4 linked regions of the Drosophila melanogaster genome follow. The protein of the gene in region 2 interacts with the protein of the main gene of each other region in a pairwise test. Each region holds a gene or a part of one and is shown on either strand. Other genes may lie near its edges.

Evidence for each region.
Region 1: the proteins of Bbd (region 2) and CG17819 interact in a two-hybrid assay, tested with the Drosophila melanogaster proteins (one large-scale study listed by BioGRID).
Region 3: the proteins of Bbd (region 2) and c-cup interact in a two-hybrid assay, tested with the Drosophila melanogaster proteins (one large-scale study listed by BioGRID).
Region 4: the proteins of Bbd (region 2) and Hecw interact in a two-hybrid assay, tested with the Drosophila melanogaster proteins (one large-scale study listed by BioGRID).

What each region holds. Positions count from the first base shown.
Region 1 is NT_033777.3:21,882,507-21,889,798, forward strand, and holds CG17819 (uncharacterized protein), read right to left. Parts: upstream 3,045-7,292; 5' UTR 3,030-3,044; coding exon 2,889-3,029; intron 2,827-2,888; coding exon 2,692-2,826; intron 2,634-2,691; coding exon 2,397-2,633; intron 2,340-2,396; coding exon 2,292-2,339; 3' UTR 2,222-2,291; downstream 1-2,221. Other genes in the region: CG31465 (uncharacterized protein), read left to right, coding at 1-376, 435-665, 723-1,393; fit (female-specific independent of transformer), read right to left, coding at 1,560-1,925; dnd (dead end), read right to left, coding at 3,253-3,528, 3,587-3,718, 3,782-3,910, 4,634-4,636; CG6678 (uncharacterized protein), read left to right, coding at 5,001-5,085, 5,529-6,048, 6,197-6,272, 6,333-6,761; CG43844 (uncharacterized protein), read left to right, coding at 7,112-7,292.
Region 2 is NT_033778.4:20,529,739-20,537,690, reverse strand, and holds Bbd (bombardier), read right to left. Parts: upstream 3,447-7,952; 5' UTR 3,166-3,446; coding exon 3,099-3,165; intron 3,038-3,098; coding exon 2,367-3,037; 3' UTR 1,856-2,366; downstream 1-1,855. Other genes in the region: CG13423 (uncharacterized protein), read right to left, coding at 1-398, 460-1,002; CG30154 (uncharacterized protein), read right to left, coding at 4,036-4,169, 4,239-4,299.
Region 3 is NT_033779.5:1,828,511-1,835,806, reverse strand, and holds c-cup (calcutta cup), read left to right. Parts: upstream 1-3,241; 5' UTR 3,242-3,352; coding exon 3,353-3,383; intron 3,384-3,440; coding exon 3,441-4,015; 3' UTR 4,016-4,180; downstream 4,181-7,296.
Region 4 is NC_004354.4:9,607,324-9,615,992, reverse strand, and holds the start of Hecw (hecw ubiquitin protein ligase), read right to left. Parts: upstream 7,048-8,669; 5' UTR 6,696-7,047; coding exon 6,302-6,695; intron 6,243-6,301; coding exon 3,787-6,242; intron 3,712-3,786; coding exon 3,545-3,711; intron 1-3,544. Other genes in the region: LysRS (Lysyl-tRNA synthetase), read left to right, coding at 7,441-7,571, 7,701-8,364, 8,426-8,669.

The sequences.
Region 1 (7,292 bases), on a different chromosome or scaffold from region 2:
GGCTTGAAGGCCATCAAGCAATCTTCATTCTTTAACTTGGTGGATGAGTATCAGAAGCAAATCGAAAACCTCAATCAGGCGTTGAAAACAAAGCAAAGTTGGTGGAAGGAGGTTTTGGAGAGGGGCAAAAATCCAGCCAGGATACCCATGAAAAGGAACATATTCATGAATAATCCTGTTTCTGGCCACGTTTTGCAAGCACCGTTTCCCGAAGTGCTAGTCAATCAGCCATCACAGCTGGGCGGTAGTAATGTCATTGACACCATGGCCACTCAAATGAATCTATCACCTTTGGAGGTGGCTCAAAGGATTGTGGGAACCGGTCAAAATGCAGCCGATGGTGGATTGAGATATGCACCCAATCGCATACCATCAGGTAAGTCAGTGAGTATATCGCTGTAAATCTATTTGAAATTATGAATATCGTGTAAAAGCAAGTCAGATCGGAAGTAGTTTCCGAAAGGGATCAGAGATCATGTGCCAAGTCCCAAGTCCACCATCACAGACGCCGCATCAACAGCCAGAGGACCAGCTGGGGATTTCGCCGGTTCTAGACAAGATCCTGGAACGATTGGAGAGCATTCAGGCAAGCAAGTCAAGCAATCAATCGTCGGAAGAGGAGGAGGAGAGAAAGCTGCCCTGCTGCTTCGTGGATCCAGCTGATGGTAAGAATAGGTGGTAGAGCTAAGATTCATGTATGTATATAAAGTTTAAAACTTCAGGTGCGCCCTGCGATCTAAACGGATCCTGGGAATCTCAAGTCCTTGGCATTCGCATAAATATCAAGACCCCGCCAACAAATTCAGATGGCGAAGAAGCGGAAAAGCCGACCTGTAGCCAACACAAAGGTCGTACCTATCGCAGGACGAGACGACAGTGCGTCAAGATGAACAGGACGCAGTTGAAGGATGCGGCCGACTTGAAAACTCCCAATTACCATGGCATTAAGCTAAATATTAGTGTGCAGGAGACAGTGCCGCCGAGGGCCCACGATCTCCTGGATAATCTCACCGATTGGTATTTCTCGGGACAAGCTATGATGATCCTGGGCGGGCCACTTTCTCTATCCTTCCGCAAGGCGAATTCCAATCTGATCGGTCACTTTGTTGGCTATTGTCGCACCTGCGGCTGTGTGGACACCATTTTCGGTTCGTGGAGCTTCTGCCAGCCGTCGCGGGATTGCCAGGACATCTGCATGTCGATTGTGGACAGACGGGATATGCTACGACGATACAGTATGGATGAGCGGCGAAAGAATCGATTCAAGGAGCAGCTCTATATGGGCAGCAAGTTCGCCAAAATGGAAAAGGAGCGCCAGCTGGCCGAGCAGGAAAAGTGCCACAAGCTTGCTCCTCAAGCTTCGCGCGAAACGAATGGGAATCCAAACCCATAAGACAAAGCTGAATTTAAATTAATTATTATTTAAACTTAATTTATTTTGATAATTTGTTACTAATTAGTTCGTTTGAAAGGATTTGATTATTAAAATGCATTTTGCAAAAAAAAGGTGGCTAAAGGAATGTCCTTAAATTATATCAACTGATCACCAAGTCGTGAGCTTACATTCCATTCGCCTGGCTCATTTGGTGGTGAATGAATGACATGGTGTATCCAATCGAACGCCTAACGCAGTGCACGTCCATCTGGCCATCCAAGATGCACTGCCTCAACTGATTGACGGCGTAGTTCTCGATCCGTTTCTTGGTACTCTCGTTGTCAATTCGTTCCAGTCGCTTATCCACCTTGTGCATTAGAATGAATGCCTCTGGGAAGTGACCCACATCACAGGGCCAGTTGACAGAGTGCGGATGCGGGTGGCTTAGACTTGGACCTTGGGACGAGTTGTCCTCCTCAGACCAACGAATATTCCTGGCCTGCACCAAAGCCAGAGCCGAAAGAAGTAGAATCACCAGAGTTGAGTTCATTTCAACGATCGCTGTTAAACTGTGCCAGTCAATTCTATAACTAACCCTTTTATAGCCCCAAAAGCAACAACAACTAATAACTGATAATGCAAAAGGGCTTTGTCCTCACAATGTTGCTACTCAGCCACGAGTTTTTCAATTATTGACAGAGGTCAATGTCAAAAATCATTGATTAGCAAATGGCTGTATTAATGTATTAATTAAAAGAGTGTTTGCCGATCAGCAAACTAAATGAATCATTATTTGAGGCAAATAATTTCTATAATACAAGTGTAACAAACTATTGTTGCTAAATTACATTAAATATATATTTAATATATTAGTTAATAGGTTGCCAAATTTTTGAAAATATAAAAATGTGATAAATCACTTCCTGTTATTGTTGATCTTTTCGTTAATCCAATTTACGATCTCCTACCCAGATAGTATAAGTTAAATTATCAGATTTCGAATATAGAACACAACATATACCTGAACACCAGACCCTGTCCGCATGGAACATTCCTCAAAAGTCCAATCTCGACCAGTTAGGCGATATAGGCCCATCAAATCGATAACCGTGGACATGGACAGGGATCCCGAGGCGTCCTTCTTGTTGGACACGATCAGCAGCGGAGCATTATCCAGTTCCTGGTGCATCAAAACATCGCATAAAACACATCGCGCCTCGCTTAGCCGCAGTGCATCCGTGCTATCCAGTACAAAAATCTACGGTTCAGGGATTGTAGTCGAGTCTATATAAGTTCTATATAAGTTCTCCTCTCACCAAAACATTCACTTTCTTATAATACTTTGGCCAGATCTGGCGATTCTTCAGTTCTCCGTTAATATCCCACAACTGGACTCTGAAATTATTTATGGTGAAGCTCCATTCACTAACTTGATTGTTAGATTCCTTGGACTGCAAATAGTTTATGCTAACATTATCAAATGGAGATAGGACCATCACATATATGGCCTTACTTCTCCATTGAAAATTTCCGCCAGGCGGTCTGTCAACGTGGATTTTCCCGCATTGTCTAATCCTAAAATGAGCAGACATGATTTCTGAGAGCCTGCGGGCAGGATCTTTTTTATGAACGAAACAGGTCCGTAAAAACACATGGGGATCGAAATTTGATTTCAGTTTAGATGTCAGGTAAAAATGAATGATTTAACTAGCATAGCCTTCTCAACTATATATTCAGTTTATACTTAAAGATACACGTGAAAAAAGGAAGATTCATCCAACAATTAGAGATTGTGATACTTTTGGTGAGTTGAAATGTAGGTACGTATATTTAGTTCTTAGGGACAACTTAACAGGCGACGATTACTATAATTTAGATTACTTCTTCATATTCTTGCAGACCCAGTCCATTCCCTCCTTTAGTCCAGTGCCATCCACAGCGGTACAGGCCTTGATCTCCCAGGTTCGTCCCTGCAGTTGCACCAAGCTCATCTTCTCGGCCACCTCGGCGGCACTCATGGCATCCGGCATATCCTGTTTGTTAGCGAAAATCAGCACGGGAACTTGCTTCAACCGATTGTCCATGAGCATTTCGAATAGTTCACTACCCGCCTCGGGCAGGCGAGTCCGATCTGTACAGTCAATTACATAGATCTGAAATAATCGAAACTATTAGCTAACAGAATTGAGTTTAGATCTATAACAATCCTACCAGCACATCAGTATTCGCAAAATAGTTCTTCCAATATGGACGTATCTTCCATTGACCACCAATATCCCATACATTCAGTTTGAAACCATCGGCTGCCACGGACTTGATGTTAAATCCTGCCGTGGGCGTTACCTGCGGGATTTCACTCCGTATTTTATGGGGAAAACGGAAGAAGTTCGCCGCCTTTATACGCACCGTGGTTATGTCCTCCGATGCCAGCTGCTTCAGTATCGTGGTCTTGCCAGCATTATCCAATCCTAGGAGCAGGATGCGAGCCTCCTTTTCCGGATTGGGTCTCAGTTTACGCAACAGCGATAGCAGACCCTAAAATTTGTAAGCTATTAAGTTGTTGTTTTTTCTACTTAGTTTTTTGAAGGTGTGTTATTCTAGCACCTGATTACCAGTATTAGTCTAGACTCGGTAGTATCCTCTGGTCTATCTTTGAAATTTTGAATAACAATCTACATTTGGTAGTTTATAAACTTGTAAAATTGTTAATAAATATATGTGTTTTTATAAATGCAACATATGCTTGTAAACACACATGTTTTGTTATTATCAATGTTGTTATCAATAAAGACGATGTAAAGTTGTAAAAAAAAAACTTGCAATTAAAACGTTCTCTTAGTGATAGAATGCAAAAAGCTTATCAACAGGTGAACTTTACAAACATATTGTTGGAATTGAGATAAGGGCTCGCCAAAAGAAACGACAACAAGGTTGAATGAAATAAAAATGTTTATTGGTAAAAAAATTTGCCATGTTCACTTAAAAATTAAGAACTCTTTTTTCCATTGTGTGCTACAAAAAGCTTATTATGTTTCTTTGTTTTCCGAACCACCAATTTGGTTTTTTTTTTCGAATACCGATAATTACGCGCCTAAAACTTTCGAAGTAGTGCTGAAAAAAGTTCTGCTCTAACAAAAAAGTGTTGTATAGTTTTTGAGGCGGGTTTCCATGGCGACGATCGCAAAATGAAAACAAATCGTGCAATTACGGAACAACAAGGCACTTAATTAGCTGTTACGGAACCGGGAGACAACCTACCATCGTATAATTAACGCGAGAATAACAGCCAGGAGGCGGTGCGATCTCCGACCACTATATCCGTATCTGTATCCCCCCGATTCGGCAATCTGCTCTGGCCGCCCAAGACGGTGTCTTCTGGTGGTCAACTCAGGAAAAGTCGGATAACTTGAGAATTGGATCAACTTCAACCACCAAACACAACATCACTGGCTCGTCGCTGCACAACTACTGAAAACAAAATTCGCTCAACGCTCTAACAAATTCCGACAGCAACAACAACAGCGCCAACGGTCGCCGAGCAACCGCTGCAAAGGATTGTTAGACGGGGGACGTGGTGGGGGTGCGGGTCGAGCGGTATTCGAATTGGAACGGGAACGGGAAGAAGATGCCGCTGCTATTTACGGGCTTCAACGCATTTGGCCAGCATGAATGTGTAAGCGGCGACGTCGACTGCGCAGCCGGCTTCAGCGGTTTGTAACCGGCAACAAAAGCCGCCGATCACTTAGTTGCTACAGTAGGCACTCGCTATAGAACTCGCTGGGATGCATGCAGCTTATACCATTTTTACAATTCTAATTCTATCTTATAAAACTGAATCCGATTTAAGCCAGATGAATTTTTAAGATTTCATGTTTAAAATAGAGTATAGTGATTTTCAGGTGAATATATACGTAGGACATTAATCCATAAAATTCTTTGCATATTCATATTCATGCATTGGATATAGACTGCATTTTAATTGACAGTTATAGGGTAAATTACACATCGGTACTTGGTGCCAACTGCATTTTTTGATTGGCCAAATACATACATAGCAATGAAATTGATAAACTAATAACTTAGACAAAATCTTTTTAGGGGGCTTCCACCGTATGTATGTATGTGTACTAATTCAGTTCTGCCTTTATTACAGAATTAAATGCGCCAGTCTCGACTCAGAACCAGTGCACGATTTCGATCGGCTGGCGGTATGCGGCCCTCGCTTTTGGCCGGAAGTTGTGCCTGCGTGGGCTCTTGGATGATGGCCCAAATGAGTGCGTGACCCTGGAAGCAACGGGGAACATAAGGGCCCTTGCCGCTGCCGATTCCCACTGCCTGGTGCTACTCCAAAGCGGTCAGCTTTACAGGGTGCAACCAAAACTGCAAGCGGAACTGGTGGCTGTTAGACTAGAAGCTGCTCCCAGATCCAATTCGGGTACAAAGCGCTCTATCTTTGGGGCTGCCAAGGCGCCTTCGTCGCCGATCATAGAGCATATTGCATGTGGATCGCACATAAACGTAGCGATAAGTTCGGAAAACTGTGTCTACAGCATTCCCAGCTGCCTGCATCAGTTTTCCGAGCGCCAATTTCGGGTGAAGCAGCTCCAATGCGGCCATGAACATGCCGTGCTCCTCAATGCCAATGGCGACGTGTTCACCTGGGGAAATGGACTGTAAGTAAAGGTCATAATGAATGCGTTGGCTGTGCAGAAATGCAGCCTATAAATATTTACATATTCTGGTTTTAAGATATTTAGATATTAGCGAGTTTCTTATTCTAATTCCTAACAATTTTTTTCACTTCTATGTCATAATTAACAGACGCGGACAGTTGGGTCTGGCGGAACTGAGAGTGGAGGAGACGCCTCAATTGCTGGAGGCGCTGGCGGGGATCAAGGTATATATATATTTGACTTGTCCACTTATCTTGTCTGTCACACATTCAAGTGCCTTGCAGATAACTCAAATTGCTGCCGGTGGTTGGCACAGTGCGGCCATATCCGCCTTTGGAGACCTCTACACCTGGGGCCTCAACTGCAGCGGTCAGCTGGGATTGCGTGTGATGAAACCCGGTGGCGTCCTCAAAGAGCCCACTGTATTTCCGCTGCCCCAGTTGCAAGATCTGCCCGAATGTGCCTGCTCCCAAAGCGGGGAGAGCAACGATGATTGCGCACCGCTGAGGGTGTTTGCTGGATCTCGTCACACTCTGCTGATCCGCCGATGCGGGCGGCTATGGGTCAGTGGTTGGTGCAAGCACGGTCAACTTGGCAGGCAGCTCCAAGACCTGTCCTATGTGGATGCTTTTCAGGCCCTGGAAGGTATCACGATGAACCCTACTGTGGATGATGTTCTCTGTGGGCCATGGTCAACGCTGCTCCATTTGAAGGTAACGTTGGATTGAAGACACATACATATGTACCTTTTAAAATGGCTTCACTATTAAATCTACTGAATTGAACACAGCTTGGACACAAACCAATTTACATGTCAACTTGGTTGCCTTCATGTAAAATGTATTGCCACACATTTTACTTGACTTTTATCTACTTTGTATATATGTACAAAATACGTTGTATGATGAGTAATTTAACATTTGTATTATATTGCATATATTACCAACTTATGTAGATAAGTAGGCATTGGAATAAGTGTTTCCCCACTATTTTAGTACTTTTAAATTACCAAAGACAGGCTGGATGAGCGGATTGCCCTTGAGCATGGCGTAAGTTAAGAAGTATGCAGGATCAGAGTCGTTGGCCTGTAAGAAACTTCCTCATTCCCAGTCCCAGTATATTCTTTATTCTAATATGGCGTATCACCGTGCAAATGATGTATCCATACGGATACATGGACTGTTCGCTGCAGGACGCGTTGGATAATGAGTATCTGGTATGGAACAAGGGCGATCACCGGGAAA
Region 2 (7,952 bases):
TCCAGAGAAGTCACCATGATCTGCATTATGATGTCCATTGATTGGTTATTATACCTATGAGGTTTTCCGCCCATCATATTCGAGCTGTTGGCAACCTGATAGTTGCTATGGTAGCTGGATGAGATTCGCGGATCGTGACCCAGACAGACAAAGGCGTCTAGATTCACCGTACAGCCTACCATAACTTCGTAGAAATGGACCGCTGTCATATCATTCAGGCACTGGTAACGCTTTTTGTGGTCGTAGAAGGACCAGGTGAAAACCTTGGGAGGTTCACCAAGGCAGATGCATATTACTTTGAAGAGATGCGGAATCATTTCTTGAATGAGATCGGGGAGACGGCAGCCATTCCCATTAAAGGTGAACTGAGCATGCAGCATGCTGGCATATTCACGTAGCTTTAGGTGAAGGAAATATATACATATGTATATAATATTCAGTACAATACAAAATACCAACCTTACTCTTCAGTATGAGGTTCATTTTTGTAGTTCGCTGAGTGGAGTGGAGGTAGCATTTCTTGGGCATAACTCCGTATTTTTTGACCAGATTAACGAACATTTGCCAGTTGCCTCCATCTGGCACTGGGTTCTTAATTAAATTCCGAAAGCAGCGCCCATCCAGCGGTTCGCAACGCATTAGAAGATCGGCGACCGTCCACAGGAAGTAGTTGCATCGCTCCAACTTGTGCCAGAAAAACAAATGTGCGGCGGAGAGTTCAAAGTCCAGTGGAAGCGGCAACTTTCTGTCCATCTCCTGGCACAGCAGGTCCAGGCCCGTGCATATCCATCCCGGACCACCGGTAGTGGCCTTGCCCTGCCTGCTCAACTCTATCCAGGTTTTCACACCTGACGGAACGGAGCATAAGTCCGCCTCGGATCGCAGGCATACAGTGATGGGATCTTGAGCGGTGCACACATTCTGGGCCAGACGATTCATCGAAGACGCGTAAAAGGCGGAGTACCAGGCGGACCACTGCGGTTCGGTCAACAAAAAGCTCATTTTCGTATCTTGACGAGTGATCTTATTCCGAATATCTCAAGTGGTTGACATTAGAAAGCGCAGGAATAGACACTATAAATTTAGACCTATCTTTCGGTCCGAATTCGTTTCGTCTATTTATCGCAATTAATTGGATAGAAAAGCAGTTGTCAAACGCAACGTGTTTGGGCACGTGTCCACTTACAATCGATTATTTATCAATCAAATACCGGATCGATAAAAAAAAAACACATCTCTAGCTGCTCGCGCGCAGTTCGATATTTTTGCTTCACATAACTTGAATACCATTGTTTTCGCTTTTAAGTTTCAGCCTATAAATAAAGTCATTAAGATAAAAAGTTCACCCCACATATCCATCCACTGCGTTCATTCCGCTCATATTAACAGAATTGACATTGAATTTGAAAATGGGAAATGGCAGCGAATCAATCTTCGAAATGGACAACAAGGACACAGATAAGATACTTGGTTTGTACTGACTATGGGTTGCAAATCAAGCTCTAGATCAACCTTACACATTCTGAACGATCCCTCTTACGCCGACAAGCCGCCCAAAACTAAAACTTTTTATATATTTTTATTTGTCTTGTAAATTTCTATCGATTTGCCCAAGTCGACTATAGCATTCTCACTTAACAAATTTGTAGCAGTTTATTAAATATATAACTGTCAACCTGATATAGAAATTTAAGATTTAACATCGATGGAAATTTAATTTCAAATCTCGATTTAGAAATACAAAATAAGCAGAAATTTCGTTCGACCCACCCTAATTCAATTAAAAGCATTTTTCATAAACAAGCAAATGTATACAGCAATGCAATTAGACAATTTGTGGCTGACAAAAGATCAAGGCCATTAATTAAGAATTTATTAAGTTAGCTTGGAAAACACAAATATAAAGAATAAGAGACCTTGGTCTTATTTACGAAGATTCGTTGGGAAATTCCGTCATTTAAATACCAAGAAGTGTTCATAAACACCGCCGCAAGCTCGGTAATTGTATTCCAATCGCCACACGCCCATACAAACCTAGTCTGTTAGGCGATACTAAGCATTAGATTTAGCCGCCCCATAAGCTGCCTATACGGTGAGTTTCCCGCTAATCAATCACATTTGCCGGGCGTCATTTCCCATTAATTGACCTAACCACCCACACGTTTGTGGCCTCAGGCCGGTCAAATGGGAAGATTATGCCCAAAGACGCCTCATGTCTGGGGTCTGTTGTACTTGGATTACACACTAGATATGTATCTTTTAGAACATCTTAGCTTGTAAACCATAGATAAGACAATTAAAGTCAAGACAATTGCTGCAAAGGCGCTTTATTTCGAGCGACTCGTGTACGATTGATTACTTGGCTTCTAATAGAAAATATTTCCCAGGGAATTCTGAAGATCCCTTTGAATATCAGCCATGGTTTTCTGGAGATTGGCGTGCACCTCTTGCTGGATACGATCGGCATAGTTCTTTGCCTCCGCCTCTAATTTATCCCGATTGTCGAAGGATTCGCGATCGCCCAGAAATGTGCGTCCACCTATCTTGGCAATCACCGTATGATCGGCCAGTTCGATGACTATATCACCATTGGAGTACTCCACCTGAGCCGGTTGTCCGTTGATGGTGACGGTTTCCTTTTCGTTAATGCCTGCTGCTTTTGGCCTGAATGTGTACACCTGGCCGTGATCATTGAGTTCGATGGCACCATTTATGATCCTAATACTGCGTCCATTGCTGTTCATGTAACTTCCATGACTCGCATCTCCAACAATGAAGCTATGTCCATCGCCATGAATTACGCTGGATCCCGAGCCACCATTGATGATAACATTGTTATAGCTCCCACCGTGACCATAATCGTGCGAGCTGTCCTCTTCGCTGGAGTCGGCATCCGTGATGATCCTGCGCCCATCGGATCCGATCAATACTGTTTTGCCATCGGGTCCACGAATGATTTGCCCGGCTCCGTTTGATAGGAAGGTGTTTCCATTGTTCTGAAGAATCGTCTGGTCCTCATTTCGCTGTATATTCGCAGCTATAAAAATACAATTTATTTTTTTTCTATCTGCACATACAAAGTATATCTATATATTCACCGCTAGACAGAGAGGCGATGCCGGCCAGCAGGCCCAGTAGAATCCAAGCTCCAGTGTTCGAGCCCATTTTGCATTGACTATGCCAATGCCAAGTGCGATGCCAGCTATTTATACTATCCCATAAAAATATCGGCTCATCGCGCCGTATTCGTTCTATATACTCTATGAGATCGGTTCTCAGTGACAGTGACTCTCGCGCAATAACAGATAAGACGGAGGAGGTCAGCGGTGCAGTCTACCGGGAATTGCCACCGACGGGTTTGTTTTGTTTACTTGCGGTTGAGCGACAGAGGCACTTCGTCACCGGCTTGCCAATTCACTCTCGATTTAGACGGATCGAGAGAGTGGGGGGAACTGTGTCAAATCAAGAACGCTTTTTAGCCAGGCCAAAAGTACGCAGATATGCCATAGAAACTGAAAAGTTGGGTGCGCTGCGATTTGCAACATTCTGAAAAAATTATTATAAAACACGTGCTGATATTGTTATGACGATCAGAATTGAAAAATTCCCATAAGCTCGTTTGCATACTTATCAATAAAATCAATATCAATCAATAGCTTATAATTTCGTAGATTATTTCGGTTTGTTCATTCGATTGCAATATTAGTTAGATTCAGGAAACAATTTCAAAAGCCGTATAAACTGTATCTTCATATTCATATTTGCAATATTAGGCTTTTAATCTCGTTTAAATATTTTGGCTCTATTACATACAGTATAGTAAAGGGTTATATTTAAATGTCATAGATAAAAAGGTGCACAATTAAAGTGACTATATATAAGTGAGTGTGACCATGAATGAAGTATTAGCATACAAATCGAGTACTGTTCGACGAAAATCAATTGCGAAGCAAAGTAGTTGTAAAATTATTCACAAATTTACTGTAAAATCCAGCTTGACTTGGTTGTGGTCACGCCTCTGCCACTTGGATAAATTTAGTAACGCCACTTGCCGCTGTTTTTCGAATGGATGACTATATTGTCGGTGGACTCTTCTCCGCCATTCCAGGCGGGTCCGCCATGGGGTCCAGAATTGGAGGCAGGTCCCCATTTCCACGGCATGCCATGCACTTCACAAATGACAAATGTGGGTTTATAAAAATATAGATAATAGATATAGATATTAGAACACCACTCACCGCTGAGAACGACGAAGCAGAGCCAGAGCAAGAGAACCCAGAGTTGTTGACGTAGGTACATGATCAAGCCGAGGAGTTCCAATGTTCCAATGATGGGGCATAATATGGACACACTTGTTTTATACGGCTCCAATAGCCAAGTAGCGCTCTATCTCTTATTCGAATCGTATCTCTTGGATTGCTTTGGACTCTCGCTCTCACTCCCTCTCTTAGTGGCATTCTCTGTATCTTTATTTGTCCATGTTTGGATACGTGGAGGGATTCGATAATGGCTTAAGCTCTAGCGACTTATGCATAATGCAATTTTCTGTTCTTTGCACTCTTTTAATTCTCATTGAAACCATCGTGCCACCACTGTCGAATGCACTCAGAGAAATTTATGGTTATATACAACAGGATTAAAGTGTCAAAAGTTATTTATTATATTTTACAAAAATATTTTTTTATATTCGCTTTTGCATATAATTTAAAAAGTAAAATAATCCTAATTTACGCCACTAACTAAGTCATTCAGTAGATATTTATTTCAGTGTAGACGCACAATAGCCGGGTAATTAAGAAGTTTCGCCATGTGGCTACGTTTCTAATTATTTTCAATTGAATTGCTTTGCTATACGTAAAACTTTTTCCATTCCTACTGCCATTAAACATATCGTGGAACTGCTCGGTCCCACCTCGGATCCCCGGCCATTGACATTATCCAATGTCCCCCGGCGTCGAGTGGGTTTATCGTTGCTGAGTGGGTGTATATAGCTATCTAAGCTGCGTTGCATCGGGAAAAGTTAAGCTCTCGTCGAGCCAAGTTTCACAATAAAAATTAAACAGGTACTGCATTGTTTGTTAATGACAAGCGTTTCGTTGTTGCTGCTTTGTTTGAGTGGCCATGGATTTGGATTAGTTGGAAAATTGGAGTGGTGGTGGAGTCACTCTGTTCAAATAAAGCAATTGTAAAGTGGAAAATAAAATGCCATTGCTGAAAGTTTGTCCATCACTAGGAAAAACTGAAGTAGTGTGTAGAGCCAATTATTTCAGTGCCTTGACATGTTATTTAGCTCGTTGTTATGCTGAGTTTTCAAGAACATGTCCTGTCAAAATCCAACGATCATAGTTATCAAAAAAATGGTATAAAAATAGTTGAGAAAGTACAACAATACGCTGAAACGTTTCGGAATTTTAAAGATTTAATCAGGCTATTAGTACCTTTCCTTAATCGCCGCTTCTAAACACGACGAGACTGTAATTGAATTCTGGCACTCAAGTGCAGGTTAAGAAGAAGCTTAATTTAACCTAACTGTGTTGGCCTGGCTTTTATTGCCACCTACACTCGTTCTTTATTCAATTTATGTGCGACTTACATTAGCCCAACTGCAAAACCGAGATCAGAAACGTACCCAAACGGCGGCAAGATAAACGACTTTGAGTCTGAAATACGGCTTGTATGCTGGCCAATGGATGTGGGTTTCCATTTTGGGCGATTCGCCCGGGGGATTCCCATGCACAATCTGCGCCTGGTCAAAGGCAAATGTGCGTTGTCCATTGTGGATGCTGTTGTTGCTGCAGTGCGAATCGAATCGATTTGATTTTCCAATCAATTAAACTTTATATAAATTGCGTCTGCGATGCTAAATATAACAACAATTGCACACCGCGTTAGCAGCGACAGCAACAGCAAACATTTCCACAAAGTACAAATAGAAAATAGCACTAGAAGAGGTATTTGTTCGCTCATTCTGTTAGTCGCCCCCTCTTTTTCTATCGTCACTCCCCTCTCTGTCTAACCCTCTAATTCGCTCTCCGTCACTCCTCAATGTCTCTATTAACGGCTGACTGCACAATCACAAAAAAATGTGTTCACTGAGTGATCCCGACTGCACTGAAATTAATAAGTTCATAATATAATTTAATTATATGCTTTGAAATTAAATTTGGTACATATTGAAGAAATATAAAGCAAGATTATCGTTTTATGAGCTAAGCATTTTCTGTAACTTTTAAGTTTCGCGACTTTTTTTTTGCAGTGTACATTTGTCAGTTGGTGGAAAGAGTGTGTCTAGCTATTGGTGGTGGCTGATGAGTCAGGTTAGAGGAGACTGCATTTTGCACGACTTTGACTGCATTTTCGCATTTGGCAAATGTTTTGTGTGCGATTTTGAAATGCAGACGACGATGTTGGGCTGCTGCAGATGACTTGCGACGTGAGCCATTGTTAGAACGGTGTCAGTTGAAGATGATGGTGTGGGTGGTGGTGGTGGAAGGGGGGGGGGGGTGAGCTAAAGACACGGAAAGTGTATTTGATCAATCAAAAATGGAAGCAATCTCCAGTTTAAAGTACTTGCACCAAGGCAGGTGGTCCTAACGAACACAATTAGCCTAATAAGTAAACAACAACTTGGGGCAAAGTGGGCGTCAGCGAAGCGACATTAATTGAATTATTGGGCAAGCTTTATAGGCATTACCTGCACGGGGTGAGGGACATTCATTAATGCTAATTGAGTACACAGCCCACGAATATGTACTTATACATATATATACATGTATATATATATTTGTTATGATCCAGGACAACAACACGAGTGTTTTCAACCGTACGTACACCCATCAAATTACATTCTGAAGATGCAAATTTATTTACACGCTGCCTAATTTGGTTGTTTGGTGATAGAGAGTAGAGAGTAGGCTTTAAGGCAATCTACTCAATCATTTTGAACCAATAAACTAATAAATTAGTTTCTAATTTGATGGAAGCCAATAATAGTTTGCTGTTTATCAGAGATTTAGGCGGCTTAGATTAAGTAGTGAAGACGTCGCAGTAAGACAATGCGTTTATTTGTGAATTAATTGTAAAAGGGATAAATTTAAGCAATATATAAAATATAGGAAAAAAATCAACTCAATTTTAAAACGCATTTTATATCAAATTATAAGCTTGTGTTTTATTTAATTTTAATTTCTGTTTCAAAGACGTACATAGAAAATGTGATTTTCGTTAACATCCGCATTTAATACATTTGCTTTCGCAGCAAAAACATCATCGACAATAGCCTGAAAAAGTTATGCAATTCTTCTCCATTTTGCTCAATTTTTTATTCCTGCCAGGACATTTTGCACTTGGACTAATTTCAAAGAGTCATATATCAGTCCTACCCCAGCCCCAACTCACGCACACAAAAACCCTCACGGAAAATTCCACTCTCTCCGCTTGTGAAAAGACACCTGTAGACTGGCAGCTCTCATTCCAAACCCCTCCCTCACCAATCCAATTCAACGCCCACTAACCCCTTTTCACGGCGAAAAACCTGACAAATGTGCGTCAAGTTACTGGCAACTTATTTTCCACGGCCACGCCCTCGATCCGCCCACAGTTTGAACCGAAGTTGAGCAAAAATATTTAACTTGGTGGCAGCGGAATCTTTTATAATTAATTTGCCACTCTGCCGGCTTTTTTACTCGCGGCTTCCTCGTCCAACAGCGGAAAACCTTTTTCCCGACTTGGGCGGCGGCTTCATATTTTACCCATTAGATGACGCCCGCATTTTCCTGAAATAGTTTCAACGCGCGAACACGTTCGCTGTCTTTAAGTTTTCTGATTGCGATTTATGGGGGTCGGTGCCTGAAATAGAATACATTCGCGAAGAATCACCAAATGGCTTAAGACTTCAGATAAGGTTTGTTTATGTTCACCTATTTGTGAAAGGTGATTTCACACGCCTGTTT
Region 3 (7,296 bases), on a different chromosome or scaffold from region 2:
ATGCGTGATATATACGCAAAACTTAAATGAGGAGAGCGCAAATATTTACACGCACCCACACACCCGCACTCAGCACAGTTATTAATAATCCTGGCAGCGTTTGGGGAACTTAAGGCAAATTCTCATCGGCACCTTAATGAGCAACTTTTCCAGCGCCAGTGCCTGGGTGGTAGCGGGTGGAAAATGATTGCGGAAAAGCACCCAGCCCGCACGCAAAACTTTCGTACTCATCAATTCGAAACTAAGAGGAGAATTTCGCAGGCGTGCATGATATTTATGCCTTGGATTTTGGGTATTCCCCCTACTTTCCCTGGGAGGTTCATTAATTTTTCGCCAGCTCTTCGTTTGCAATTATACAAGAAAACTTTTCGCAGCCAGTTCGACAGCCAAGCCAACGGATTGACAGTGAGATATTGATTTAATGCATTGCCAGAACTCGTCGGATTTCTGTGTGCTTTTGATTTATTTGTTAGCCGCCTGGGTGAGCGGTAAAATCTGCCAAAAGTTTTGGCATAAAGTGTCAGTCTAAAAGGTAGAAAAACACTAGTAGAGCACTGAATTTTGCTTTCCCTTATGAGTACTAAAAAGTGCAGAGATTGCTTAAAAATGTTCATGTCATTTGATTATAATCCTGTAGCGCATTTTTGCCTGTGTAACCGCTTATAGTTCCACTTAAAACCATCTAAATGACAGTTGTTCCCCAGGCAACTTTGTCTGCTAAATGCTGGCATACATCCGATATTTCGCTATCAGCCACCGAACACACAGCCACACGAAAAGCATTAAAAATATGCCAGGCATAAAAAGTGTTCTACCATTCTGTAAATTTAGCACACAAAGTGGGAAAACTTTCGATTTTTGTGTGGGCCATGGTTGGGAGGTTATGAAAGATTGGCACCTCGTTTTATTGCCCTAGTTTTCCCAGCCCTTTTTATCTATATTTTACTATTTTTCTGCTTTTTTTTTTGTGGCTGGCGCCTCCTGCACCTTGACACTTTTGCAATTGTCGCATGGGAATATTTTTTCATTCGTTGTTATTCTTGCTCAATTTGTTTTTGTGTGCCCCCATTGTTTGGGCCCAGTTTTGTTGATTTTTATTCTCGTTATTCCCCTATTTTTCTGTACTTTTTCTATGCTTTTTCTGTACTTGTTCTGCACTTTTTATTTATGGTTAGTGCAGCAAAATATTTCAGCATCAGGCGTATAACCAAAGTGCCGAGTGTGAGGGCGGCATCGGGCCAAAAACTATGTGGGTGATTTTTATGGCTTTGCCTTGCCTCTCAGTTCAATGAATAAATCATTGGACGCCAAGGGGATTGGTTGGGACTTTGCAATATGGAGTGGGACTCTCTGGTAATGTTTGATAATATTTTATGGAAATATTTGTACTCGTTTTGGCTTTGAATAAATGTGTTGAGAGTCGTACATTTTAAAGAAGTTTGGTAATAATTGAATGTTTCAATACGACCGGAGCCAAATGAACAATTGTAAATGATTCAAGGAAACCCCTATTTAAGTTGTTTATGTCTGAACCCTTTATCGTTTCCCTCTTTTTCAAAGTCTATCCCATTAGCAGAAAATCCCAGAACCTTCGCAGGCCTGCAGCAAAGTAAACTAAGCAAATCTGCTGGCATTCTAATCCTTTTGAAATTTGCTTTAATTAACTCGAATAATAAGCAGCATCCGCATACTTTGTACTGCTCCTTCTGCCGGAGCCTTTTTATCCTGTTCGTGGGCTTATGAGCTTTGGCACTTTGTGGTTGAAATTTTGTGATTCCTTTTTTTTTTCTGGCATTCGGATTTCCGACATTTGCCAAAGCAAATTTCAGCGGAGCGGGACTAATAAGCCAAACAAGAGACAGTGGAAAGGGGGCGGGAGGAAAAGGGGCGCGGCTGGCAGACAAAGTTAATACGACACAGCTGCCCTCGCGGTTGGTGGGCAATTGAAAAGTTTATTAATAACCCGCAGAACGGCAGTGGCAGCCATACGAACTTTAAAGAGACTGCTGCTCTTTTTTATTTGTATGATTTTTATTTTTAATTAAAAGAAGGCAAGGCTGAGCGGTAGCGAGTGCGGTCCAAGGGATATGTAATTACATTTGAACAGCATGCGAAATATGTTTTAATTTATTAAATTAAAATAAGCGAAAAAGAGCTGGAATGAAGGAAAAATAACAAAAACACGACAACAGGCAAAGGAAGCAACCAGCCGCAAACCGAGTGCCCAAAGCAATTTGAACCAACGTCACACGCGGCGTATGCGTAATGTGCTCGCAACAAAATCAACGTTATGCAAATTTTAATGCGAGCATAAGGCGGAAACGAAACGGCGCTACGCTTGCCAGTTTCTCCTGAATCCTGTTACGAGAATCGCCAGGGTATTGCCAGGGCATGATGGTGCCACATATAGTAAGTCATTCAAGCTGACCACATGACAACACTTGGAAATGTCACTATAAGCATAATAAATAAATACTTAAAATATTGCCAACATTTCAGTGCACAGCGTAATTTATAAAGCAATAATGCCATATTTTATATAAACTACTATTGTGGGAGCTCAATTACCGTAAGAGCCACAACAAACCAATTTCAGCTTTCCGAGCAATTGAACAATCCGAGGGTATCGTTTAAATCCGACCCAAATCAGCGCAGGACTCCTTCGTCCTGGCAGTCGCCCTGCAGTTGTACTTGTATTTACATAAGCGTCCGTATGTATTTCTCCCAGAGCACTCGCCTGGCGCAAAATTACACTTTGTTGGCGAGACACACACACTCACATGCTCATACGCACACATCGTGGCGCAAAAAATTGTAATGAGCTTATTAAGTCATATTAAAGTCCAAGTACAGCCAATTTGATAAAAACAGCAACTGACAGCAGACTGGCAATGTTTTCATGCGACATTTTTTTACGATAGCATTTGGCATTAATGGTAATAGCAAATGGCGTAGACACACGCTGTAGCTATGTACGTTACACTCGAAGAAAATCAATATTTTAATGAGTAAGCAACCAAAAGGGTTGATGCACGTATAAATAGATGTTGAAGAAATATATAAATAATAACTTAATAACTTTGTCTTGCTAGAAATGAATAGTACTGAATTTCTTTAAGTGCATGTAATTTATATGACTGATGTAAATGAGCTCGGCAGCAGGTGGCTTAACATTTTTATTCGCTCCGCACTGCGGTAAATTGTTGTTAACTCGGCTTAATTGAGTATGATCAAATTGCCGCTGATTTTGCACTCGAATATATTTCGACTGAACTTTCAAAATTCATGAAATGCTGAGCACGAAAACAACTTAAACAGAGTCAATTATATAGTTTATGGAAAAGTCGTAAAAATGCCGATACTTGGACAAATGTTTCCTGCAAGTAAGTAATGTTATTAAGTAGTAGATAATTACGTAACGCACTCACTTCATCCTCTAGAGCTGGGTCCCAATTTGATGACAGCCTCCAAAGTGCTAAAAAGTCCTCTTGGCCAGGCGTTAGTCTCCTTTTTGGTTGGCTACTTTGTCACCACAAAGTTGTCGCAATTTTATGGCAAATTCAAGAGGGACTCTGAGAAATCCGATGAGTCGACGCAGTACTTGGACATGTACCCCAGGAAAGAGAGTCAGCCAAAGGACACCAAAGGACACGATATCGTTCTGCTCACTCTGGAGGAGCTAACTGCCTTCGATGGCTCGAGTCCCAGTCTACCCATTTACACCGCTCTGAATGGCCTCATATACGATCTGAGTCCGGGCCGAGAAAAGTTCAGCAGTCACGGTCCGTACTCCCTATTGGCCGGTTGCAATGCCAACAAGGTCCTGAACATTGCCTGCAGTTCCATGGGCGTCTGCGCTGCGAACGTAATAAGTCGCTGGGAGCAGAGCCTAAGAGCCGAATTTAAAGTCGTAGGATATTTAGTCGATGCTGATATAGATATTATTAGCGGTAGTCCAGTCAAACATACAAATTCGGCCATAGGGGAGCAAATGGAGAAGAGTGATATCGTTTAAGATGCTGTGAATATCCCGTTTTCTTAGCTTGGCAATAAAATATTATTCACAGAAACTAGTAATTTACTTCCAAGCTAACTGAAGGGGATATTCAGTGCAACCACGGACTAAAAATGCGTTTGGAAAAATTACATGTAACTTGTAGAATAAACAAAATTATTGAAGATATCTTTTAGCTTCATGAGCGAATATTTTCCAAAGGTTTTAGGTTGCCAAACAAATGATCGACTATTTCTTTTACAATCTCCTCCAGCCTGAGATTAAATTAATTCTGTCCTTCTTTTTTTTTGCCGTTTGACCGAGCTCTTGGCATTTGGAAAGCCGGAAAGTTTTTCCGCCTTTGTCTTGCGCTTTTTTCCCCAGCGGTTCGGTTCGACAGGAAAATATCGACAACGGCAAATGTCGATAACAACAAATTGTTTGTCGTGTTTTCCTTTTTACTTGGCACTTTTTGCCCATCAAGCTGTTGACTTTGTCAAGTTGTCGCCGAATTTTCAGGGCTTCGGGGTGATTCGGGTTTCCCATTGTGCCGGTGTATGTGTGTGGAAAAACTTTGCGCCAAACACGCAATTGACTTAAATTGAATTGAAAGCTGAATTCTGAGAGCTGAGAGCTGAAAGCCAAGAAGTGACAAAGCGGGCGGGAAAGCAGAAGGAATGCCGTCAGGTGCTACACAGCTAATAAAATCAAAATTACTTTTCGCCAGCGCAAAGTTTCGTCAGTCGACGTGCTTAAGGAATTTAAAAAAGTTGTCCAAAAATTGTTAAGCACACACTTCAAAATCAGTCAAATGTGCAAAAGGACAACACACACTCAAGAACAACATTTGGCAAAGTGTTATTTGAAGTGTCGAATTTAATCAAGCGCAAAGGTGACAAAAGGGCTCAAAAGTTAACAACAACTAGGGCCAACAATAACAAGTGGAAATGGTTCTTAAAAGGTGGCGAAATGGACGAGAGCAGTCCCCTGCAAAGATGGAAGGACAATGTCCTGGAGTGGCCCATTTGCATAAATTGTTCGCACTTGTTTCAGCTTTTTATTAGTGAAGCTTTATTTATACTTAGTGAAATCCGATTGCGATTGGGTAAGTAGTACTACAATAAAAAAAATCCATTATGCTAGTCCGACCAATTAAAGTTTTAAAATGCTGCTTTAATGGATCTTCCCCATTGGTGATAACAATAATACGGATTAAGGTAATCATTCATTCGCTTTTTAAATGACCCTTTTGAAATGAATTAACTGAATGGATTCTTTGTCATGTTGGCAATTCATTATATGTAGCTCCTTAAAATAAATTTCCCGTTAGCCACGCCCCGAAACTTGGCCAGTTATGGTATCCCATATAATTGGTGCCAAACACTGAATTTATCACCATCTGGTTGTCATGTGCAAACGATGCTCTAACCCCCACTTTGCCGGGAATTTGGATGGGGAGACCTCCCTCCAGTGTCATTCGTTCATTTTAATGTTTTACGTGACCCATTCGAAATCGAATCGAATAACTCATTAAATGCAGAACGCGCCAAAACAGGTGGTAGGGCTAAAATCGGGGGGAAAGGTGGCCATAAGAGATGTGTTCTAGGTGTAAGGCAATTAACCATAAGAGCTTATGTCGTGGAACGTGCCTAATTGCTGGATGAAAACACTAGACGAATCTGGATTTCGGTGTTTGCGCAGGGAAATGCAAATGGCTGTGTGAGTGCGGCAAACAATTAGTTTTCCAATTTCGAAACTAAAATGTTGGCAAACAACACAAATTAAATTCACTCAGTTGCATTCCGACTTTTCGAAGTCTGGCCAAAAGTTTACTTTGCTCTTTGCCATTCGCTGCTTGCAGGAGTTAATTTAATTAGTTTTCATTTATCTAAAGTACACGCTTCATTACATAATTTAACAATTCATTAGATTGAGCCCGGCTTCGTGGTAATTGAAAAGCGCGTCACGCTCTAGCCCCCAGATTTTCCAACGCCTCGATTCGCCACGCCCCCTCCGCAAGGCATGCACATCAGAGACCGCCCCTCATTTCGCAGTCTGGTTTTTATGTTCACTTTGTTATTATTGCCGCCAGACAATTGCTAATGGTCGCTGTAATTATCATTAAATGGTTCGCTTTCTTTTAATTCTTCACCCATTTCTGCTTCCACCTACCAATCTCGGCACTTTTATCCTTTTTCCCGGGAAGTGGGAACAATGGCTGCGGCCCAACAGCTGCTGGCTACATTTCAATGTGTTTGTGAAGGGATTAAGCTGCACTTGGCTCCTTAATTTGATTGCATTCGAGAGTGATTTGCCATTCATGGACAATTATGGGTAAGTGGAAATGTGGAACATCCAGCAAGGAAATTGTAAGTGAAATGTGAAGGGATTTCTCGAGGCTTAACTGAATCCTCAAGATTGGTTTTTATTCATTTTACAAGAAATTTGTCTGAGGCTTGCATCCATTCGAAATATGCTAGATAAAATGGTTATATGTCCATATAAAAGACATTGAATTACAATTTTAATTAAACTTGTTTTTTAATTACCACATTATCAGTAGCTTGCCATTTGGTTACATTTTCCATTTTAATGAAAGATATAGGTAAGAACCTCTGGTAAAAACAGCTACCTATGTTTTCCAGCCTTTTCTTCTATTTTCCGCAGTAAGAGGCTTAAATTTGGCAACGAGCTATGCGACAAGTCAAATGTCATGCAACCACTTTGGCAATAATTTTCGTTTTTTGAGGGGGGCTCTCGAAGCATTTTGATGTTTCGCAAAGTCAGAATTTGATTTACAAATGGCACTAGAGGCCCGCCCCGATGGCCAATGGCATTTTGAATTCATAAATCCATGTTGCCCAGAATGACACGAAACAAAGCAAGCGAAACGAAAGCAGAACCAGTTTTGCCCCATATATCAGGCTTAATTGCAATTCAGGGCCAGTGGCAGTGGGCCTCGCAATTTGCGAGCTTTTCAGTTGACCCAAAGCCATTTTCCAGGCGATGTCTAGACTGCGCCACCCAGCTCGCATTCCGTTGTTGCGAATAAGTTTCCAGGCGAAACTCCGGCGTGGCCCATTAAAAGTGGCCACAGACTGGCTGTCTCGGGTGCGTTATGCGAGTACTTTATATTCAAAAGTGTGTAATTTGCAAAAATGTCGGCCCGGGCTCCACCGGCATCGCCCCCAGCGACTACCAAAGCACCAGCAGCTGTGCTCGTCACATTAACATGATGCCAACGGAAAATGGAAAAAGGGCGGAAAACGCTCGCCAAGTGCGCAGCGGATTACACTGAGAGA
Region 4 (8,669 bases), on a different chromosome or scaffold from region 2:
TTCGATTCAATTTAAGCGGCAAAGGAAATTATTTAATTACTCGCTGGTTTTGTTTTCGATCGCCGCGTACCGCTGGAGTTCTGTTTTCAGCTCTTTGCCGTTCGCCGTGCAAGGCGGCGTCGCTCGAGACGTTGCAGCGCTGCTCCAAACGACGCCGCCGAAGTGCCAGCAGAATCCGCTGACGCACAGTGGTCACGATTGGGGGTTGCAGATTAGGGAATTGCTTCAAAGTGGACAGAGATTATTGAGAACTCGATTTGGGGAACTGAAATGGATGGTACTAAAGAGAACTTCTAATATCTAGTGAAAGTATGTTACAAAATATCACGTATGATATTCTCAACGGATAATATATGCTACAAAGTGGTTGTCTTGAGATGGATATCATGTATAGTTCAATATTCGAAATCTTTTTCAAATTAAGAAACTATGTAATTAGACCTCCTTGCTTACTATAACTTCCTAGTTACAAGCAAAAGATCCCTTCTATATTAGAATTGTTCTAAAATCCCAAAACTGCCCCACTGTACCGGCAGTCAGCTGTTGCCGGCATGACTACGGCTTCGTTTCGGGTTCGGTTTTGTATTTAGGTTTTGGACTGCGATTGAGTCACCCCCACGAGGAGTGCACTTCAAACGATCGACGACAGCCCCATCCCCATACCATTGCCCATACCCATGCCCATTCCCATTCCAATTCCCATTCCCATTCCCATCGCAATCCATGGCATGTGGATGGTTGAGTGTGTTTGGCGTTGGTCATGGTTATAATTGCCTGCTCATCACTCCACCGCGACAACCACTCCCACTTCCACTTCCACACTCCGTTTACAACTGGAGCTAACATTCATGTATGTATATACTACTGCCACGCCCTGCATTTAGCACGCCCCAAAACGGAAGCCAGCCACAACAAACCGCAAACAGACGGCGGCCACTGTTTGGGTGTCTCTCCATGACTGCCGCCTGCCCCAATGTTTCCATTGAGGCTCCACTGCCTCAATGCCTCGCTGATCCCATGTCCCAATCGAACTGCACGCATGCGCAATCCGCCCAAAAGCCCAATGAACTGTAAACGAGCAGCAAAACAACTGAGAAAAAAAAAAAAGCGAATGTTCCCTTCTACGGGTCAAATTTAAACGGCAAACAGCAGTTAGGCCAACTCCAACGCCAACTTCCTGCTTCCAAAAATAGTAGATGCATATGCTCTACTGAAGATAAATATGTATATATATATATAATCATATTTAAGTAGTTCTTGACCTGCTCAATTGGCCTACATCTACTACTTTTGGGTAAGCCACCTTTCTAAAACTAAACTAAACTCTTTTGGTATCTAAAAACATCTATTAGACATCTATTTCCCTAGGAAAACTAGATATACCCCTTGGAAGAAGAGCAACGAAGAGGCCAACTGTAAACTTGTCAATGCCTTGAAGTTCAACGATGACGATTACGACGCGACTTTGCGAGGGTGCCGATGATAATGATAATGATTATGATTATGAGGTAGCACAACTTGCTGATGAAGATGACGGCACAGCCACACCTCCGCCGGAAAAAAAAAAATAAGAACTAAGCAAAAAGAAAAAACTTAGAATCGGACGGGACTCAAAATTCGAATTGGAGTTGCTATAAATTATGCTTGATTTGGAATTGGGTTAAATTGTGAACCGGGCGAGGGGCATTAGCGGATTAGTGGGGCGTCTGCGGAATTTATGGGGCAGCTGCTGCTAAAGCTGAAGGGCGTTGCTCTGCCACCGAAAAGGAGGCGTGGCTGCTGCAAAGTCGGAATGCCCCAAGATCGCTCAATAAATATACATATATAACCCATACATATATATATGCACATACATACATATGTATATATTTTAAGAGCCACTCAGCTATTTATAATTCACCGGCAAAAGCATTTAGGCATTTAGCCAACTGGCGAAATGTGTAGATAACTAAACGCGTGTATTTGTTGACTCTTGTTGTTGTTGGGCATATTAATTGCTCAAACTATGAAAAAAAAAAAAAAAGGGGGATGGCGCTGGGTGGGCGAGGTGTTGCCTCATCGCCACTCGGATGACTAATGGCCAAGTGCAGATTGTCTGAGGCTGCGGATTCTGATCTCGGTAGCGGAGTTGTGCGCTCCGTATTTCCAATACACCAAGTGCGACATGTGCGACGGCTACCCGACTTTTGCGATCGCTTGCAAAAGATTGTGTAAATACTTTCGCTAACCAGATCGTTAGGTGTCACTATGCGCAATGCAATATGCTTTAAATGAACTTACAAATTAACTCATTCGTTTCGTTTAAAAAAAAAGGTGCTGAACTAATTAACAAAACGGCAATTAATCAAATTACTTATTACTTGATTTTTTCTTGTATGTAGTGCATATCATTGCCTAAAGTTCTATTGAACTTGCTTGTTTTTAAGTGGATTTCATTTAGGGGAAAATATATACAATCAAATTATAAATTTTTAGGAAGCGTCTTGATTTTCAGCAATATTTAAAGATATTAAATGGAATCTTGCGTCAAATTTTCGCAGGATTCTTCCAAATTTATTATGATTACCACAACTTTAACAACCAGATGTACAAAGTATTCGCACTCGAATAAATACGATTGCATAGTAAAAACTCCCACCACTCGTTTGCCAATGAAGCGCGACAATTTGGCTAATTGAAATGCAATTAAATGGCTCAATCGGAATGGGAATCAGAATGGTTGGTGGCCAGCCAGCAACGGTGGAGTAGTAATCGACAGTTTGGGAGAATGAGGGGCGGCGACTTAATCTCTCAACATCGATTTCCATTTTGTTGCCGCCGAGATTGGGATTAAGATTAAGGTCAGCGCAACTTACATTGCGAATTGACGTGCTGCAGTTCCTCAATTTTTGTGGTAAATGTACATTGATTTCGTTGTGTTATTTCTCGCATAAACACGGTCAATTAGACAATAAGCAATGGGATTAAAAGCCAAGACGATGGCAAAGTGCTAGCCTTGCCTTGCCGTTGGTAGTTGGCTTAGTCCGCTTGCATTGTTGGACGCGCGTTTGGCGTTTTGGAAAATTAGCCAGCGACCTTCGATACGGTTTTCAAAAACAATTAAACCCACTAGCAGCACTCATATGCGGTGCACTCAACCAGGACCGCCGCCAAAATCGATTGAAGCTAACCGAATCAGCCAGCAGCTACAAATCAAAACCGAAAACTGATTCGAGCCAAGAAAATGACGCAGCAATGCAATTTCAGGCCAGATGGATACGGCCTAGCCTGGTGTGGGACCTTCGTCAAGTGCAGGTGGAGCCATTGCCTGACGGCCAACGGTGCGTCATGTGAGCGGGACTATATGGCAGTGGGTTCATTAGCACCACGCCAGTTCCGAGGGTTTACCTCCAACTGTCTGGCTGGCGGAATAATTCGAGTATAATTCGACTTAGCAAAAGAACAAGAATTGGATATAGACGATATCAATCTATCTATAATCTCCGCTACGATCCATAGTCATGTTAAGTGATCTAGTAGTTTCTATTGCAATCAGATCACTCACCTCAGCAAAATGGTCAGTTGTAGGTCATGGCCCAATCTTTCGAGTGCGGGAACACCCTCCACTCGCAGTATATTGATTTTCTCACGCAACTGGCGGGACATTGTGTGCTGGCCCTGGCGCTCTCGCAGGATCTCCAGGATGTTCGGCTGGCGCAGGAAGGCAATGACCTGAAAAGAAATATGTGTAATCAATGGAAAGTTCAAGATTTTACATTTGTTAAACGAGCGAAACGCGAAACGCACCTTTTCGTTGTAGGCGATGGGCACATCTTCGTACCCGGCTGCAGTGGCTCCAGCGCTGGCCATTCCAGCGGCACCATACGCCGAACGGTCGGCGTTGAGGGCACAGGAGATGGCTGACGTTGTGTTGCAGTTGTGGCCATGTCCATGGCTACTTCTGGACGAGGAGGACGACGATGAGGGTCTCGGTGGAGGTAAGGGCGGTACACCGGAGACCGATGATGCTGGACTGGCGTTAATATGCCCACTGGTGGCGGACAGGCAGTTGCCATCCACCAGATCCGGATAGTAGTAGCCCACACTGGACTGTTGCTGCGAATGCTGCTGGCGATGGCGTACCACACGAGGACACTCCACCGGCAGACGAGGATCCATGAATGAGGTGCGACGATGCTGGTGATCAATAAAGAACTGCTTGCCCGATTGATCCAGCTTGGTCTCCCAGCACGAGGGCAGTTCCCTGCTCATCTGGGCGAATGTGTTAACCAGCGCCACCAGATCCTTGTTGTACTGATACCGCTGGAAGCACGGCGGATCGCGTCGGATGCGCATGACCATGTGCTTTAGTGCGGCATTGCGATTGTAGATGGCCAGTGCAGCTTCGTTGGTGTGCAGTAGGGAGTAGAAATCCGGGCGGCAGAGCATCAGGATGGCTGGATGTATAGCCGTGGCGGGCGGAGGAGCAGCTGGAGCTGTGGAATTGGCATTACTATTCGCCGAGGTTGGCAGGTTGTAAAGCTGCGCAGCTCTACTCTCATTGGTAATGGTGCGTCGGATGCTTTGATACCGCCTATCCAGCTGCTGGCGATGATGTTGCTCTCTGCCTGCTGGTCCTCCACTTGGCGCCGCTCCTGGTCGTTGCCATGAGGTTGTTCGCGTTGTGTGATCGATGTAGAAGATGCGTCCGTGGCTGTCCATACGCGCCTCCCAAGCAGGCGGCAATGGTGGCTCTCCAGCGGCTCCAGCTCCACTAGACCCGGATACCGTACCCGTTCCGGGTTCCATGAGAGCGGCTCCAGCTGCTGCTGCCGCCGCCGCCGCTGCTGCGGCTGCACTGCGTTCTGGAATGGAGGGCAGGCGGGTGCTGCTTATGTGCACAACTTCGTCTGACTGCTCCTGACCCTGCTCCTGGCCACCATCTTGCAGATATATGTAATCCAATTGACTAGAGACGGCTGGCGGATCCGAGGGGATCGCTCCTCCGCTGGCGAGGCTGGAATTGGCAGTGACGGCTTGGAGGCGGGCATGCCGACGGGCATGGTGAGTAGGCGTTGGTGGACATACCAATGGCGAGCCGGTTGCGCCTCCCGTAGCACCAGCTCCTGCTCCACCGCCTACACGTTTGAGCAGCCGCTGCTGCGGTCGCTGACCATGGAATGTTGGAGTTCCGGGCGGCACCGCATCCTGCAGAGCACCACCCACTCCTCTGCCTCTGGTGGGCGAGTGCTGCTCTGGACTCAGGCTGATATCCAATGGAGAGGCACTGCGCGTGGAACAACCGGAAGGAGGACTTCGCGGACGTTTTGGTGAGAGCAGAAGGCGTGGGGAGGCTTGCTCCTCCGATGAACTGGCCTTGCCATTGGAAAGGGCACGGGTGAGCGGACGGTGCTGGCGCAGATACGGAAATTGCAGACTATTCGGCGACGAAGATGACGATCCAACTGCCGAGGAACTTGGAAAGGTGGGGAACTCATAGCTCTGGTGGACCGGCACCTTTTGTGTGCTAATTGTGTTGATGTAGCTATCGGGTCCAATCTTTTTCTTCAGCAGCGGCTTAAAGCGCACAGGCGGCGTGGCCAGGGGTGAATTATTCGAACTCCCACTGCCCTGTGCCATCTCCTCGGCCAGTCGCTCGTCCGTGTCCAGGATGTCGAACTGAAAGACATCGCCCTGAAGCTTCAGATCCCGACCAACGGCACGCGGCGGCCAAGATCGTTCCAGCGGACGATGCTGTGGTGGCGAGGGCTGGCGAAGATGCTGGTGATGCTGCTGCTGCTGACGGCGCTGCACATGGGCACTGGCCTGGAGGGCAGCAGCGGCTCCCAGAAGACTCTCCACGGCAGCCGCCTCCTCGTCCTCCTCCTCATCCACCTCCTCGTCCACTTCAGCCATGCTCAGAGTATCCACCATTTCAGCGGGCACTGTTTCGAAGCACTCACGTGCCACCCACAGATTAAAACCGTCGCCATTAGCATTGGACAGTGTTGTGGTTGGCGCACCCGTCTTGGTCTTCTTCTTGGCTCCGCTCAGGGGCGTGGAGCCACCGCTTTGCGGCGACAGGGTCCAGGACTTGCGGCGGGCGCCACCGCCCACACTGCTGCCGCCGTCGCTGCCAATGCTGCCATTGTAGGAGTTGGTCGGCGAGAGCGTGGCATTATTGGCCGGCGTCTCGCAAGATTTGGTGGAAAGCAGCGTCTGGTGGTGGCGCGGTTCCCTGGTCTCCTTTGAGCCTGTAAGAGCTTTAAGAGAACCAAGTGGATGAGTGGATGAACTCGCTCGTCAGTCTCAAGTTACTTACAGGCTTCGCTGGGCTGCGGCAGTGCGCAGGCCCCCAGCTGCTGCTGCTGCTCCTCCACCTCTGCCACCTCCTGATTTCTCGATGCCAAGGGCGGTTCATGTTCCTCCACTTCGCTGACACTCACATGGACATCGTTGGTCAGGGTAAGGGCACTCTGGAAGGCCTGTTCCAGCTCGTCACTTTCGTTGCCGTTGCGCGCCTCGTAGAAGGCCTCCTCTTCTTTGGGATCATCATCATCGTCCTCCTCTTCCTCCTCCTCCTCCTCGTCATCTCCTTCTGCCTGCTCCTCCTGCTGCAGTCTGACTGCAATGGGATCCACTGGACTCCTGTCCGCCAGGCAGGCGGAAGATGCTGCCAGTGGCTGTAGGGGTACCGGTGCAGCTGGTGGCTCCATTGGCTCGTTTGCCTCCTGGCCTCAAGATGTGCTCTTCCTCTTTCCCAGCACCCTTGCTCTTCCTCTTCCTGGTCCACAACCACCACTGCCACCCCGCCCCCGCGACCAACCCAGGGTTAACAGTTACAGTTACAGCTGCAGTTGCTCTACTTTGGCGTTCTGATGTTTGCTGCCTTCCGACCGGAGCATTTCGCGTCCTCCAGCCATTGAGTCCAGTTCTGGGCCGTGCTGTGCTGTGCTCACTGCCCGCAAGGCCGTGGCTTTAGTTGATCAATTGTTAATTTAAGGATATTGCAAAAGCTAAATAAAATATATATTTCGGGTCTAGTGCAATGTGACCAGATGTCAATGGCGTAAAAATGCCCTCGCGCCAGACTGGCCATCTGGTGCGGCAAAGCCAGTTGCATCGATTTATGCCCATCTGGCAGCGCTGGTCGTGTACTTTTTTTTTTTTACTTTTGTGGCGCTTTCGCATTCGCATTTCTTTTGGGTTTCCATCGCTTCTGAGACCCCGGGATTAAACAGCGAACAACGTAACCGCATCAGCATGGCCGCTGCAAGTGGAGAACTGTCCAAGAAGTAAGTGCCATAGGCTTCAAAGCGTATCCATTTGACCGCAAGCATTAAATCCGGTCAACGTAGCTGCCCCACTTGTAGGTTAGGGCGAAGCGGCAACGTTCCAGTTCGCATTATTTATGTTGCATGTGTGCAGTTCTGCTGATGAAATACGCTGCTTAAAATAACCATGTTCGCCCGCTGCGCCCTTAGAACCGTGCAGGGGTCATGGCCCCGATGCAGATACACCGGAATTCAGCCACTTGCCGCCGGTTTCCACGTGAGCGCTCCGCAAATGGAGCCAAGCAAGCAGACCAAACTGTGGGTTACTAATACGCACCGTTGGCCAGGCTGGATATATATATATATATATCCATGCGTGGTTATAACAGCCTTGTGGCAACATCTCCATTGTCTGCTAATACCCTAACTGTTTCTCTTCGTCCACAGTGAGCTAAAGCGTCGCCTGAAGGCCGAGCAAAAGGCCAAGGAGAAGGCTGAGAAGGCGGCCGCTGCGCCGGCGGAAAATACTGCTGGCAAGAAGAAGAGCAGTGCCGCCGAGGAGGAGGAGATCTCGCCGAATGAATACTTTAAGCTGCGCTCCGCCGCCGTTCAGGAGCTGAAACGTTCACCCGCAACGGATCCCTATCCACACAAGTTCCATGTGAGTAGCTCGCTGGAAGACTTCATTGCCAAGTACGAGAACAGCCTCAAGGAGGGCGAGACCCTGGAGAATGTCAAACTGAGCGTGGCTGGGCGCGTGCATGCCATACGCGAGTCGGGCGCCAAGCTCATTTTCTACGATCTGCGCGGCGAGGGCGTCAAGGTGCAGGTGATGGCCAGCGCTAAGTCCTACAAGTCGGAGGCGGATTTCGAAATCGATACGTCCAAATTGCGACGTGGTGATATCATCGGCGTTGTCGGACATCCCGGCAAAACCAAGAAGGGTGAACTGTCCGTTATGCCCAGCGAGATCAAGCTGCTATCGCCCTGTCTACACATGCTGCCCCATCTGCATTTCGGGTTGAAGGACAAGGAGACGCGCTACCGCCAGCGCTATCTTGATCTCATTCTCAACAACAATGTGCGAGAGAAATTCCAGATCCGTGCCAAGGTATGAATTGAACTAAGGAGTTTAAGCTGAATATAACAAAAACTACTCCCATTGCCCGCAGATCATCTCGTACGTGCGTCAGTTCCTGGATCGTCTGGGTTTCCTGGAGATCGAGACGCCCATGATGAACATGATCGCCGGTGGAGCCACTGCCAAGCCCTTCGTGACGCATCACAATGACCTCAAGATGGATCTGTTCATGCGCATTGCTCCGGAGCTGTATCACAAGATGCTGGTGGTGGGTGGACTCGATCGTGTGTACGAGATCGGACGGCAGTTCCGCAACGAGGGCATCGACCTCACCC